Linked DNA regions of Kluyveromyces lactis. The protein of the gene in region 1 purifies or fractionates together with the protein of each later gene. This does not show direct contact. Links are inferred from orthologs where the notes say so. Each region holds a gene or a part of one and is shown on either strand. Other genes may lie near its edges.

Region 1 (7,564 bases):
TGAGATCAGAAAAAAAAAGTTTGTAGGACGGTAAGTGGAGAGAATATCCGGTGCGTTACCCGAATATACGCCAGGTTTAGTTTGCACTAAAAGTGGGAGATGTGAGGAATACGTCTGTATCCGGTTAATCGGAACAATACACTCGCATAAAAATGATTCCAAGCCAACCCAGCTAGGAGGCGGGGGATGCGGCTGTTATTTCGCTGTGGCTACAGGCAGTGAAGGTCGCCACTTTTCGAAGAGAAGTTCTTGAAGTTACAGAAAACACATCATAAATAGGCGGCAATCATGATTATATGAGTGTTTTGGCGTGCGTATCTTTGGTTGATGGAAACGCTGAGAGCATAATTTTGGGCGTTGTCATATTTACGAGTAACACCACTTTCACGTGACTTGCGACTTGGGACTAGACTGGTTTTTTTTTTCCAGTTTTTCCTTTCCGCAAAAGTCAATACTAACCTAGTGACCAAAAGACGGGTAACAACTCTCTTTTGTCCCAATACCAATAATGTAGTATTTCATTTTTAGGGGAGGGCATGGGATTGAAAAAAAAAGGATTCAAGCAAGACATCTCAACTTTTGAGATAACACAAAAACGCGATCTAGGAACTGCGGACAGAAATTTGAAGAAAAATTATATTTACAAGTTCTCGGAGAAGTCACATCTGTTATTGTGTCACTCGAAGGTGACACAATCTAGCTTATTCGATTTCTGTCTGGTTTTTTTTTTCCTGGCTATTTAAATTTCCCATTTTTTTGTGTGATATATCTGCAATTGTTATACTTGTTGCTGTATCAAAAGTATCGATATTAATGAGATCAGTAGGATAGAAACGAAATAAGTTGCCAATATAGTTACTGAAACTTCAATTAGAGTGTCTTGTATCGCTACTGGCTCGAAGATTATTATATTTCTGTGATAGATCAGACATCTAATTTTGCCTTTTTTTTGTTTTGCTTGCATCATGAATAACCCTAATACGATGCTAAGTAAAAGCTCAAGAAAACCGAGAATACCTAAGCACTCACATTATTTTCTGTCCTTCGTTTGCATTTCTTCGTTATTAGCATACTATTTCCTTTTATCACCATTTCAAGCTGGGAATCACAATGCGAATCACAGTATAGAGTGCCCTTTATCAAGGTCATCTCCACTAATTGAAGTGTCAGATTTCAATAGGATATCTGAATTCAAATTGCAACCAATCCCAGTCTCGAAGAACATTTCAAGGAATGATTTCAATAAATGGTTGGAAGAACAAACGGAGATTTCCTTCTATCATATGTTCGAAAACATTTGTCATGCAGAAACATCAGATAAATTTGATAATTGTACTCCTGGTGTTGTCTTTGCGTCTCCTTCCAAGAACAAACCAGATTATTTCTATCATTGGATTAGAGATGGTGCCATCACCATAAACACTTTAATTAATACGTATCTTGATATTGATAGGGAACGGACTCTTGAGACAGTCTTGGATTACGTGAACGCATCTTTGGATTTACAACATAAATCTAATCCCAGTGGGCCAGCTGATGATCCTTTGTTCAGAAATTTGGGAGAACCAAAATATCATGTTGATAACAGCGCTTATGAACTTGTCTGGGGCAGACCACAGAATGATGGCCCACCATTAAGAGCTATTGCATTGTTGAACTTCTTGAACCAGGTAGACGATGGGGAAACCGAGAAATACAATTGGATATTTGATGAGGTAATTGCCTTAGATTTGAAGTTTGTGTTATATAATTGGCATATTCCAACGTATGACCTATGGGAAGAAGTGCGTGCTTATCATTTTTTTACTAGTATGGTTCAATTGAAGGCGCTAGTAGAAGGTAAGAGATATCTTTTAACGTCGGAAGCAAAAGGTGTAAAATTGAGCAAGCAGTTGACTATACTATTGAAGGATATTGAGACTTGTATAGACAAAATTGAGGATTTTATCATCGATGCCAATTCAGGGTTTATAAATCATGAAAAGGGTTACATTGTGGAAACCCCCAGTATTTTGGATGAAAGGTCAGGTTTAGACATTGCTGTGATCATGGCAAGCACCTTGACACATGATGATTCTATAAAAGATATGAACACCGTTTATGATTCCTTCTTGTTTGATATTGATGATCCTTTCATATTGAATCATTTCAATGAACTAATTGAGAGAATGGCAGTACTTTACCCGATCAATCACAACAGACTTAATACAAACATGGGAGTTGCCATTGGGAGATATCCAGAGGATATTTATGATGGAATTGACATCTCTGAAGGTAATCCCTGGTTTATCTCAACGTTAACCTCTGCCGAATTGATTTACAAATTAGTCAATAAAATGTATCACGATGAGAAACCTTTACTCATTGATCCGATATCGAACAAGTTCTGGACTAAATTCTTCGAATTTGGGAATATGAAGGATTCGCTGATCTTGATACCATATAATACATTAGCGTTCAACCAAACGTTGTACACAATATTCAAATACGGTGATTCATTCCTAAGCAAAGTTAACGAGCATGTAAGTAACGACGGATCGATGAGCGAACAGTTCAACAAATATCATGGATACAACCAAGGGGCTCCAAATTTGACATGGTCTTACGGTACTTTCAGCAATGCACTTCGCTGGAGGGAAATTGTCGATCGATTCATCCATCCTATTGCCATATAAGACATGGAATCACTCTTTCGAATAAAATGTAAAGGGGCAAGTTGTTAATGAAAAGTATATAGGTTGAATAAATACTTTGATAATGATAAATTTTAGCTGCTACTTGTATCTGCTTTACTTAACAAAGAAAAGTACTGAATCCTAAGTTCATTGATCGTTGCATTATTGACTATTAAAACATCTATAAAAAAACACAAGCTTAATACGAGAATATTTACATTTATTGACCGTCTCTAAAAAGCTTTTCCAACAGCAGTATGGTTAAACTTGACCGTGTTGCTATTACTCAGGAACTTGTAGACCTACCTTGTTAGCAGTCTTTTGAACTTTTTCCTCTTGTGACATTTTCAATCCTGGATTATATCTTTCGATCAACTGCTCGTATTCACTTTGATTGACAACAAAGGCCGCAATATCTTTCAAATGTTGAAGAGAACGCGGGTCATCTTTCAGCGATAGAACAATATCTTTGAGATGTTTGCTATGGCTGTAAAATAATAGCTCTTTAGATTTCAATGGGTCCTTAGTCTTCAAAATTTCAATTTTTTTTCCAACCGCACTGAGCTGTTTTAATACCTTGCTTCTTGCCATTGCATCTAGGCCCTTCTCCTGCTGTTGTCTCACTAATTGGATCCTATTGTATGTCAATAAGGCTATTTGTTTCTTTGTATCTTGCTGTAGTTGTTGGATTTTATTGTGCTTCGCACTACGGACAAGTGATCTCAATAGTGACTTATATGTCGATAACGTTAGCTCACTCATTGTATGATCCTTAATATATTCTATATTATCACTGCTCTGTGAGATAATGATAAGTGGAGATATCCTATAATGCCTATTATAATATGTCAAGGCAGAGTACTCTCATAACATGCTAGAATCACCAATCTAATACAGAACTCATCGAAACATTTTTCAACAGTCAAATCTCTCTTTAACTGTCGATCCAGATCACGTGAAACCTTTTTCACGTTTCTTCTGTAAATCTGAAGATATATTTCATTCCGGGTAATGATTCGTGTTTTTTTTTTGTCACTTTTCTTTATTTTCCTCTTGTTCGTTTTTTGACTGACTCAATGCCGAGAACGGAACCCAGGTCACATGATCGCGACTGTTATTATACTGCAGCGGGACCGACTTTCCAACTTGAACACAGGGGAATCAAATGTGACCTAAATTTTGTTAGAAATTGGCATGATAAGTATATAAATACAAAATATGGAAATTGTCCAGAGAGATTTAAAAACCTTGAATCACAACCGCTTTCATTTTACATCAACAACTGAAAAGGAACACTGTAAAAGATCAGTGAAGAAAGCCAATTCAATTGCCTGAACAACTAGCGGATCTGCCATTAGTGTTATAACTATCATTTCTATTCGTTTTCTTTTTTTCTAAAGGTTTTGTGTTTATTTTAAATTCCCTTCTCCACTAAGAAACAATATTCCAGATATAATTTGAAGTGCCCTTCTTTTCGAATTATATTAAGCTTAAAACAATAGTCATTATATCAGATCAATAGGTTTTCTCATTTCCGAGTTAATTGCTCTTTTATTTTAACTTAAAACCCCTCATATTCCCGGTATTACATACTAAATTACAAGAACATAGAAAAAAATGTTGAGACAAGGTATTGCTGCTCAAAAAAAGTCCTTCGCTACCCTAGCAGCTGAACAATTGTTGCCAAAGAAGTACGGTGGTCGCTACACTGTAACTTTGATTCCAGGTGATGGTGTTGGTAAGGAAGTGACCGACTCAGTAGTCAAGATCTTCGAAAACGAAAATATTCCAATCGACTGGGAAACTATCGACATTTCTGGTCTAGAAAACACTGAAAATGTACAAAGAGCTGTCGAATCTTTAAAGAGAAACAAGGTTGGTTTGAAAGGTATCTGGCACACTCCAGCCGACCAAACCGGTCATGGCTCATTGAACGTTGCTTTGAGAAAGCAACTGGATATTTTCGCCAATGTCGCCTTGTTCAAATCAATTCCAGGTGTCAAGACTAGATTGAATAACATCGACATGGTTATCATCAGAGAAAACACTGAAGGTGAATACTCTGGTTTAGAACACGAATCTGTTCCAGGTGTCGTTGAATCTTTGAAGATCATGACCAGGGCTAAGTCAGAAAGAATTGCTAGATTCGCCTTTGATTTCGCCTTGAAAAACAACAGAAAGTCGGTCTGCGCTGTTCACAAAGCTAACATCATGAAATTGGGTGATGGTTTGTTCAGAAACACCGTTAATGAAATTGGTGCTAACGAATACCCAGAACTCGATGTCAAGAACATCATCGTTGACAACGCTTCCATGCAAGCTGTTGCCAAGCCACATCAATTCGATGTTTTGGTGACACCAAACTTGTACGGTTCTATCTTGGGTAACATTGGTTCTGCTTTGATCGGTGGTCCCGGTCTAGTCCCAGGTGCTAACTTCGGTAGAGAATACGCTGTCTTTGAACCAGGTTCCAGACATGTTGGTTTGGACATCAAGGGTCAAAACGTTGCTAACCCAACTGCTATGATCTTGTCCTCTACTCTAATGTTGAGACATCTAGGTTTGAACGCTTACGCTGATAGAATTTCCAAAGCTACATATGATGTCATTTCTGAAGGTAAGTCAACAACAAGAGACATCGGTGGTTCAGCCTCCACTTCTGAGTTCACCAACGCTGTTATCGAGAAGTTAGCCAAGTTATGATCACATCAAGGAAATTATGACATCTTTTTATCCACACAAAACAAATAAAAGAAATTTGATCCTTATAATATCCTTCTCTACCTCCTAGAAAACATGTTTTCTTTACCGTCCTGTCCCTCTGAATGAAGACAGTCACTTCCAACAAACATATACAATCTTCAAGATCAAATCAATAGATGATTATTTACTAAATTCCATTACGTAACTTTTTAAATCATATATACAATCACGACGACGTTCAATTCTTTTGATACAGCATCAAGTAAAAAACACAATCCTTAAGTTTCTTCCCTGACCATAGTAAATACAACGATTATATATATAGCAGTTTACTAGTGGTGGTTGATGCTCCCTTCCAATGTGTTTAGTGTTCTTTTGGATGTAGTGATCGCTTTCACATTGCAGCAGTTCTCGAGTGAAAAAATCATGTCTATTGTGAGTCAACATTAGTGAATAAATGGAACTGCTTAAATTTCCCTGACACCTAACTAAGTAAGCTATCAGCTAATAGTGCATATCGAAAGAAGATGGATACAAAGTAAATGCTTCTATTTCGGACCGAAAAGGTAACATCAGGCCCCTTCCATACATCTCATCTATGTGCCTAATATGTCCTGGTTTTTGACATTTCTCGAATTCGAGAACAATAAAAAACAGTACACACAAATACAGCAGGCTTACATAATAGAAAAGACTGACAGCTTTGTAAAAGTTGGAATATTACAGCAGCCATCTCTACGATGGCATCTCGAAGAAACAGCAAGCAGTAAGAATGAGCTAATGGATACAGCAACCCAGTATCCTGCTCTGCCAAGTTCGGATTAGGCAATGATATGCTATGCTATGCAATATCATGTCATGTGACGGGTGACAATCGAACTATTTTCTTTACCAAGAAAACCACTTTTTCCAGGAAATGCGCTTTAGTGGTTCTATCCGAAGACAAAATGTTGCCATCCTGTAGCCTGAATGACACTGATACATAGCAGGGCATATATTAATCTTGATTCTCCTCTGAGACAAACAGTATATTTATAATCATCTGTATCTTAGTGTCACAGCGTGCCACACAGACATAAGTTACGTATTATTGCGATGTAGGAAATAAAATGGAAAATGAGATTTTTCCATTAGAACCGATCTAACGTCCATTTTGATTGGGTATTATTCTGAGCTTCATTCTCCGAACGATCAACCGGTGACCCACCGGTGGGTCACTGGTAGGTAAAGTTGCTAGAGGAGATATTCTTTGTCTGACTTCGGGTTTTGAACCTTCTATTTAGGTTGAGAGTCTTAGTATGTCCCAAAAAAGGGGAATGTCTGAATGTATTGAAATAAAGAAATGAAAATAAAGAAATGCCACTTTTTCATGCACACATAAATCACAGCAGTAGGAAAACTAATAGAGAATGATTATGGAGCCCATCCAAAAACTATTGACGTATTGTACAGGTTTCTGAAAAGTTTTCAAACTGCACTCAGTGTTGACTTATTCCCTACTTGTTCTGGGGCATTTTGCTTTGGTCCTTTTCATGAGATCCACACTCAAACTTAGGTAGTAAGTGATGTAAGTAGGTAGCTTACGTTATTGTTTCCCACAGTATGTCGCCTTGGCCATAAGAAAGCTAATGGATTGGTAATGGAAACAATGATAATATATAAAGAGCATACAATTGTACATCAGACTCAACCATGTGTGCAAGTTTACATTTCTGACCATTAACTATTAGTAGCGTTAATGACCAGTAAAGGGATAATCGTGAAAACACAGCTCATATTCACCCCGGTATATAATAGTTGACATTGTTACCAAGTTCGTTTCATACTTATATGCAATAAAACTATCCTGTCTGAACTTATCTTTTCCATCTCAGATCTGCCATACATATAAGCTGGGACTTTCCAGGATCTAATAAGAGCCCGTTCAAACACTACTTATTACAGTGTTAGGGTGAAGGACATAATCAATTTTTTTCCGGTAAAAATGACGTCTTTTGAGAACAGACTTCAGGGTTCAGACAACGGGTCAGTTTCTGACGATTACGATGTGCATAAGACGCTACTCAAAGCACCTGGCCAAAAACACCAAGATGTGGAAGACGTAGTTGAAGTCCAAAACTACGGTGACGATACTAGCGTGTCTTACAAGGATGGCCTCACAGAAAGTGACGAAGAAGGGCATCAGA
Region 2 (8,040 bases), on another chromosome or scaffold:
TCAGCACTACGGTTGGGTTCGGCTCCAACATGGAGTTTTTAAGATGTATGCTCAAGACTTATGAGTATTTGTATACTGTGGCGAAAACGTTACCATCACCAGAGTTAGGTCAAAGAGTGATGTCTTTTCAGAACCATTTCATGAGGAATTGGAATAAAGTGCAATGTGAAAGCTTGTTATTTGACCAGGTGAAAGATTTGTTATCTCATGCACATGATTTCGTTGCTCCTCCATTGTTCAATTTGGAAAGCGTCATTAAAAGAGACTATTTCAAAATAACGTGTGACAAGTTACGTTATGAGAATTTATGCGTTGAACTGTTTCATTTAGATAATGGGAACATGGCTATATTTAAGGTTAACACCCAGACTTTGCCCTTATACACCAATGAACAAACCCATGAATTACTTCTGCGATTGACAAGAAATATAGATATGGGAGCATATCAAGACCCTCTATTTCAAATTGGTAGGACGTTGTTATTCCCAACAATAAGACCCATGGATCTACGAATTGCTGACGAATCAAGAAAGTCAATTCTCTTAGAAACGAAGACAGGAAATGGTGTTACCTTGGCTTTAACCCCATATGACACGTTGGCCTGGTCCCAACATTGGAGGCCTTTTGTGCAGTCTCTGTGCGCAGTAGCAGACTCACCTAAAGCTTTCCTAAGTGATAGAAATGAAAGTACTTTTGGAAGTCCAATCAATAAAGATACAATAACCTCTGCAGGTACTCGTGGCTTAGGTATCAGTCTGAAGAAGTCAGAAGTGAGGACAAACCTCGACACTGGCCTAAGAAAATCTAAACCGTTGGCTTCAGAAGCACTGTCTATATCAGAAATAGAGTCACTGAACATGAAGAAACTTATGGAGTTGAATGACAGTACCGATGCCTCAACCATGAATAGTTCCATGAAATCACCGGTTCCCACCAATATTAGACACATCCAAGAACCCTCAAATATCATAGAACAAATGAGTCCCGTAATTGGGAGCCGAGTTGACGATATTGATAGCATCATTTCTGATGATGATGGAATTAATAACGAAGGGAGTCTAGGAGGGTCCCCAGTCTTTAATCTTTCGGCTGAATTTCACAAACCTCAATTGACTAAACGGAAGTCATCGTCTTTCTTGAATCTATTCAAGAAAGACAAATCAAAAAGTCAAAAGAATAGTACTGATAGCTTGGCAAAACTTTCAGACACAAAAAGCATACACCCTCCAGAGTCAGCAATGTCTTCGCATGCATCAACACCGTCTTCTACGTCAAAATCTTCAAAATCTTCAAAATCTTCAAGTACTTTATCTCCTTCAACTTGCAAACTACCTTCCAGCGTTAAGTTGGACACAAATAACGTCCTTCTTGACACCCTTGTTAAATTATCGCAATGGAGAAACAATTCATGGAGATTTTTCTCCTCAAGTTGGTTACAATTGCAGGTCGTCAATTCCAACCAAGGCAGATACATGTTCGTGGTACAAGATGACAACTCTAACTTAAAGCTTTGTATTGCCATTGGTGAGAGATGGACAATTTCAAGAACTACTGCTCAAGACATTCAAATTAGATTCCCACCAACCGACGTTGTGGCTTCTGTCGCGGAGCCAGTTCCAACCTTGCTTTCAGTGAGATGTCCTCAGGTAGATAACATTGCCAATTTGCTTAAACACTGCAAAAAGAACGAAGTGATTTTAACCTCAAGCAACAACATGTCAAATTCTGCAACACAGCTGACCTTGGGGTCCAATTCATCATCAATTTTGAGTAATAACGTTTCAAATATGTCATTTAGCAGGTCCAGTACTGCTTCGAACGATTTATCACATGGTTGGTCGAAACCGCAAGTACTAGATTCCAGTAAAGATTGTAAATCACTGCTGTTATTATCAAAAATTAAGGTGCGATTACATAAATATGACCAGCAATACGGATGGAAGATGACTAAAGTTGGATTGTTGAATGTTTACTCTAGAGAATATAATGGATCAGTTGCTGGATGTAAATTTGAGATGGATGACACCGAGTCGTTCATTTCATCCATATCGGACCTGAAGAGAATTGGAAGGACTGGTATCTCAGCTGGAGAACGTCTAGTAGAGTTCAAAAATCAAAATGTAGCTGACGAGACCTATAAATTGCTAGGTGCTCTGTAAATACGAAACACTTGTGATGTGTCTGAATATTACCTTTGAATTCCCAAACTCTTAGTTATAAACTTTCTTTATTAATCATATGTACAGTAAGTATAGTTTTAATTTATTCTTGATTGTTATCATCTATTTCGACGAGGTTGGTGGGCCGAATGCAACAATCGCAGCTGCATGGATGTTTCTTCTTACATCACGTTTATCGACATCATGGGTATCTTCAACTTCACCCCATCTTTCAACTTGGTAAATAGTCTCGAGGGTAGCTGCTCTTGCAATATCTTCCATGGAAACTTGTAACTCAGGAATATTTGTGACAGTTGCCGATTTATTCAATAGCAATAATAGACCGCAAATAAAGGATTTTGTTGTTAGGACAGTCTTCTCGAAAATGGCTAAATCCCAAACAGATAAAGAATCCAAATACTGTTTAGCTACTTCTCTGGTCTCTCCACTTTGGGCGTTACCTCTCAATCCATGTAAATCAGCGTCCAATATTTGTAATTTGACTTCTTTCTTATCTTTATTTATTTGAGATAGGAACTTTTCGACACCGGAAATTATCGGTAGATACAATTCATCTTGAGCCTTTCTTAGCGCACCTTCGTATTCATTTGCTGGAGAAAACACTAATAGAGTATCAGTATCTAAATATCTCAAAAGACCTTCAGTTAACTTTTCTCTGTTCCCACCTATCTTCGCAACAAGTTCTGGGTCTACACCGTCCTCATTGGCCTTTTCCAAATCAATGCAACGGGAAACTAAAGAGGTTAAAGGTAAAACATAAGGCTTGACAGATAAACTAGGAAGATTACTCCATTCATTGAGAACCATAACCGATAAAAGCTTACGAGATTGTGGTAAAGTTAAAGGGTTCCCCAAAGGAGTACGCAAAGGCTTAGAATCCAATTTAATGGTAACATTTTCGGGGGTTTCTTCTAAACTCACTTGTTCCCAAAACTTAGTCAAAGTCTTGGACAATCTATTAGTCTCTGTTTGTAAATTATTCTCGATACTGTGATCCACACCTAATGGAGAAGCTTGTGCATAACATCTGACTCGTGATAAAACAGTTGGCGAAACCAAACGAAATGGCCTGCTCAATCTTAACATATTTGCAAACAATTCTTGTTAAGTATCACTGGATGTAAATTGAACCAAGGGCTTTGGAGAACTTGGTCCAACCTTTTTTTCATTTCTATTCGGGCATCTTGTACTTATTCACTACTATAATGATTCAAAAAATAAAATTATAAAGTTTCCACGATCTGAAATTTAAAGCTTTAAGCATGATGATATGGAAACTATTGAAATGTAAGAGTCATACGCTGGCTTTGCAGTAGTCAATCTAGATCTGTGAGGCATAGTGCAAAGAATTTGATACTCAATTACACAAATTTGACAAAATGAGCTCTCAACCGCAAGATATAGTAAAGGAGATGGCAAATTCTCTTCGTAACAGCAGATCACAATTGGATATGACGCTTGCACAACTGGAACAACTACAGAGGCAAAAAAAGATTGCTAAGTTGACTGAAAAGGAATTGGGAAATTATGGAAATGAGCAAGTGTGGAGATCTTGTGGTAAGATGTTCATCCGTCAAGAGAAGCAAGCCTACACTGCTGATTTAAACCATGATGAAAGAATATTGGACGAACAGATAAAGGCATTGGAACAAAAGAGACATTACCTACAGACCACAGTCGATAACACGGTAGAGAGTTTGAGAAGAGTCATTGGAAATTAAATCAACTACTGAGTCGGCATCGACAGGGGTTTTTGTATGGGTCAAGCAATGTGGGAAGATAGTACCCTTAAAAGTCGTATTCATCATAGAATAGAGTTAAAGTATTTAGCAGTGGTAATGTTATATATAGTTGTACATTAAGAATTCTCTATTTCAGAATACATGTGGTCTTTATTCATCGCACGTCAAGGAGGAGGTACATTCGATCAAACCGCACTGTATCCGCCTCTTTGAGACGATGAACCACTATTTACGATTTTCCCTGCCACTTCTTTAGCGAATTGTGGGAGATTGGTAGCGAACGTAGTCGATCTATCAACGAACTCTTCCCGGAAATCGTTAAAGGAACCGTTTCTAGTGTTCATATACGAAGTAACCACGAGATAAATAAGGGCAAAGATAGTTGCATACATGAATAGCCATACGAGCCACGACCCAAGACCAGCTCCGCCCTTTGGTTTGGATCCATTTTTATCACCATCGTGAGGCTTCTTATCGGAGTCATCACCATCCTTATCATTGTTATCGTCGTCTCCGTTGCCATCTTTATTGTCATTTCCCTTTTTCAAACAACCAAATGGACCAGAGAACACTAGTTTCACATTTTGATCATCGGTCCAGCTGGATTCCGTTAAAGAACCCGAACCTTTCTCCTGGCATTGTAGATATATATCAGCATTCAAGATATGAGACCCCCAGGCGGCACCAGAAAGCCTTATAGACAATGCTTCCGCGGTTTCTTTCACTTCAAGGGCCACAGAACTGGTGAAATCCATCACTTTGGTGACAATTGATTCTTTCCCCGGTAATGCAACAGATGTAACGCCACAAAAAATATCCTTCACATTACATTGGTCAGGTATGGACGATTTGGAATCATGTTCATCACAAATATTCAACCACCAACTCTCTTTAGTCTCACTTGGTGGTGTATCCTGTACAGAAACACCGCCTATGGAAAACTCATTGACTCTATATTTGTTGAGGATTTCGTTTTTAGAGCACTCTACCGCTGAAGAAAATGGCAAAAGCGATACTAAAGCGGTTGCTAGTAGCACTTTCATGGCGTGTATGTATAGTTTTGCGTAGTTTCCTTTGGAATTATTCAATAAACCCGTTTTCGGTATATATAACTCCCCTGAGACAACAATAAACTCTTATTAGAGCGAAATCTTGAGAAGAGGCGACTTTTCAAAGGGCACTGTATGTACTCAGCACTTAATTATTTGCGTAGTTACCTTGCTTGGATACCTGATGTAGACAACATAGGGCTTCAAAAGTAGTTATGGTTCAAATGGAAATGTAAAGAACTCGTTGTATATTAATGCTAATCCTATCTGATAAATGTCATTAGCTTAGGGGAAATATATGTGGCCGGGTAAATATCCATCTTGTGACTGTTTAAGCCCGTGCATCCTTTTACATGCGATATTTAACACCCATAAATCTCCTTCTTTATTCTCTATAATATAAACATCCTAATTAGGTGACAAGTTTATTTTTCATTTTTCATTCGTTGAACAGCTGAGGTTGTATGCAGCTAGGCAGAAGGACGGAAATCTCAGGGCGGGCCTCTCTCTGCACAGTCCTCCCACTAACCACACCGGTCCCGGCTCCAGAGTGGTAAGTTTCAGCAACCCAGGCGGTTCCTCAACCTACCATGCTCCCCCTATCACATTCACCGGCATCAGTCTTACACTCAATGATGCGCCGGACGTTGGCCATGGGCTCACTCTAACTCCAGGTCCCTCGCTGCTCTGGCGCCTCCTCCTGCTACGGTTTGCTTGTCTCTGCCTAGTCTCCCGTTGCGGTAGGCAGAACTCCTGCCTAGCAGCAATTCCTCCACGCTGGCTCTCACCTTTCCAATTTTTCATTCCCAGACGGAAACCCGCCTGCCACACCGTGAGAATCAATTTACAGGTTTGGAAATTTGGAAATATTGTGAATAAAGAATATACGATAATATAGCATATATACATTGTTACCATATATTAAAGAGTAGTGGTTTAGACGTGTTAATTAGTGTTTTGATACAGGACCGAGAACTAAGACCTTCAAACAGAGTGATACACAATGGCTAGATACGGTGCTACTTCCACTAACCCAGCTAAGTCTGCTTCTGCTCGTGGTTCCTACTTGCGTGTTTCTTACAAGAACACCAGAGAAACTGCTCAAGCTATCAGTGGTTGGAATTTACAAAAGGCTCAAAAGTACTTGGACCAAGTTTTGGATCACCAAAGAGCTATTCCATTCAGAAGATTCAACTCTTCTATTGGTAGAACTGCCCAAGGTAAGGAATTCGGTGTCACCAAGGCTAGATGGCCAGCTAAGTCTGTCAAGTTCGTCCAAGGTTTGTTGCAAAACGCTGCCTCTAACGCTGAAGTATGTTATAACATTTGATATTGTGAAACACATAGGGTGTAGGCCCTGTGATGTACGAATTAGTGGGATGAGTCGATGGATATGTTGGAAGAATGAATACGTGGGGCGAAAACGATGGCATATATATGAACAAATGAGACCGATACAAAATAGAACGATGTACAGAAATGAGCCAGTACAAGACAAGATATGATATTGCAGAACTAGACAACTCATCAGAAATTATGATCATGGAATAATCATAACCTGAGCTACTAAAATGTGAACCACCAGAATCAAGATATTCCATTCTCAGCAAACTAACTTCTAACAGCTTATTCTCCCCACTATACCAAATTAAATGAAACTTTTACTAACAAATTTTATCAAAAATTACATCCGTTGTAATTTCAATTAATCATTTCCACAGGCTAAGGGTTTAGACGCTACCAGATTGTACGTCTCTCACATTCAAGTTAACCAAGCTCCAAAGCAAAGAAGAAGAACCTTCAGAGCTCACGGTAGAATTAACAAATACGAATCTTCTCCATCTCACATCGAATTGGTCGTTACTGAAAAGGAAGAAGCTGTTGAAAAGGCTTCTGAAAAGAAGGTTGCTAGATTGTCCTCCAGACAAAGAGGTAGATTGGCTACTCAAAAGAGAATCACTGCTTAAATTTCCTGGATCTTCCCATCCAAACATTTTCTCAAATAAATATCATAACATTTAAGTAATTTTTTACACAAACCTCTGAGTATACTAATTTAATCAGTCAACATACGTTCCCAAAAGAATACTTCACCTAATTCATTGTAAGGTATTTGCCAGTCCAGGAGACATTCCTGTGAACGATTTACCTGTTTTCATAATTAACTATAAACGGAAATTATACAAAAAAGAATGACCACTGTATCTCACTGATTGGTGTTAATCATACTACCTGATGAGGAGCTAACGTCTGGAGTTATGTAGTTGGTGAAACTTGTGACATATATAGTCATCACCATCACCAATCCATGTAATCCAAGGCAATACAACATGAATAGCATTCTTGTCTGTTTGTTCGCTAGAATAACTTTTGCAAAACTCAAGAATAGTCTTTCCAAGGGTGGCATCTTACGTCGTTCGTATCTTTCTAGCTCTCTTTCTTTGAAACTAGATAATGGATGTAATGACTCCTCATATTCTTCGGAAAATGGAGATTCCAAATCTACTGTATTGCGCACTGCGGAATTGTTCGAATACGAACTTAGTAGCTTTGCCTTCTCGTACAATTTGGAATTATCGGCCTTTAATTCCTTCACTTGTACCTTAAGTTTCGTCTGTTCTTGGTTACAATGCTTTATTTGCCTTTCAAGCTCTAGATTTCTTGAGCGGAATCTGTCTCTCTGTTTGGTGACAATTGGTAGGATAGATGGAGAGCCGTTAAAATTGCCGGAGAAGGTATCTAGTTCTTTTTCTTCTGGTATTCCAATGATTGAGCTTGTAGGAGATAGTTTTTCGTTAGTGGCATGTCTATTACTTATTTGCCTTGTTGCCCCTGACATCATTGATTGTGTATCGGAGAATTGGTTCGTTACATCTTCGACCTTCTCAATGTCTGCTTCTAATTTCGCATTCAAAGTTTCTAGATTTTGAATCTTAGAATATAAAGCTTCTATGCTTTTCTTGAGCGTTTGGGTTTCGTTCATATATTTGTTCTTTTCAGTATTGGCCTTCACCAAATTATTTTGGAGTTTTTGGTTCGCATGTTTCAATGAACTGGTGATAGAGTCAT

The links.
Region 2: the proteins of FMC1 (region 1) and ATP12 purify together in Saccharomyces cerevisiae (affinity purification with mass spectrometry, with the first as the bait; 3 studies listed by BioGRID). This does not show direct contact. The link is inferred for Kluyveromyces lactis from reciprocal best matches to the Saccharomyces cerevisiae genes FMC1 and ATP12.

The regions. Positions count from the first base shown.
Region 1 is NC_006042.1:384,867-392,430, forward strand, and holds FMC1 (Fmc1p), read right to left. Parts: upstream 3,438-7,564; coding exon 2,958-3,437; downstream 1-2,957. Other genes in the region: SGA1 (glucan 1,4-alpha-glucosidase), read left to right, coding at 966-2,675; isocitrate dehydrogenase (NAD(+)) IDH1, read left to right, coding at 4,293-5,378; KLLA0_F04125g (uncharacterized protein), read left to right, coding at 7,363-7,564. UniProt on the Saccharomyces cerevisiae protein: Needed for the assembly of the mitochondrial F1-F0 complex at high temperature.
Region 2 is NC_006037.1:570,913-578,952, forward strand, and holds ATP12 (ATP synthase complex assembly protein ATP12), read right to left. Parts: upstream 3,267-8,040; coding exon 2,283-3,266; downstream 1-2,282. Other genes in the region: RBH1 (Rbh1p), read left to right, coding at 1-2,159; PFD1 (prefolding complex chaperone subunit), read left to right, coding at 3,560-3,901; ATG27 (Atg27p), read right to left, coding at 4,108-4,965; KLLA0_A06336g (60S ribosomal protein uL22), read left to right, coding at 5,975-6,283, 6,693-6,938; CCAAT displacement transcription factor COY1, read right to left, coding at 7,178-8,040. UniProt on the Saccharomyces cerevisiae protein: Essential for the assembly of the mitochondrial F1-F0 complex.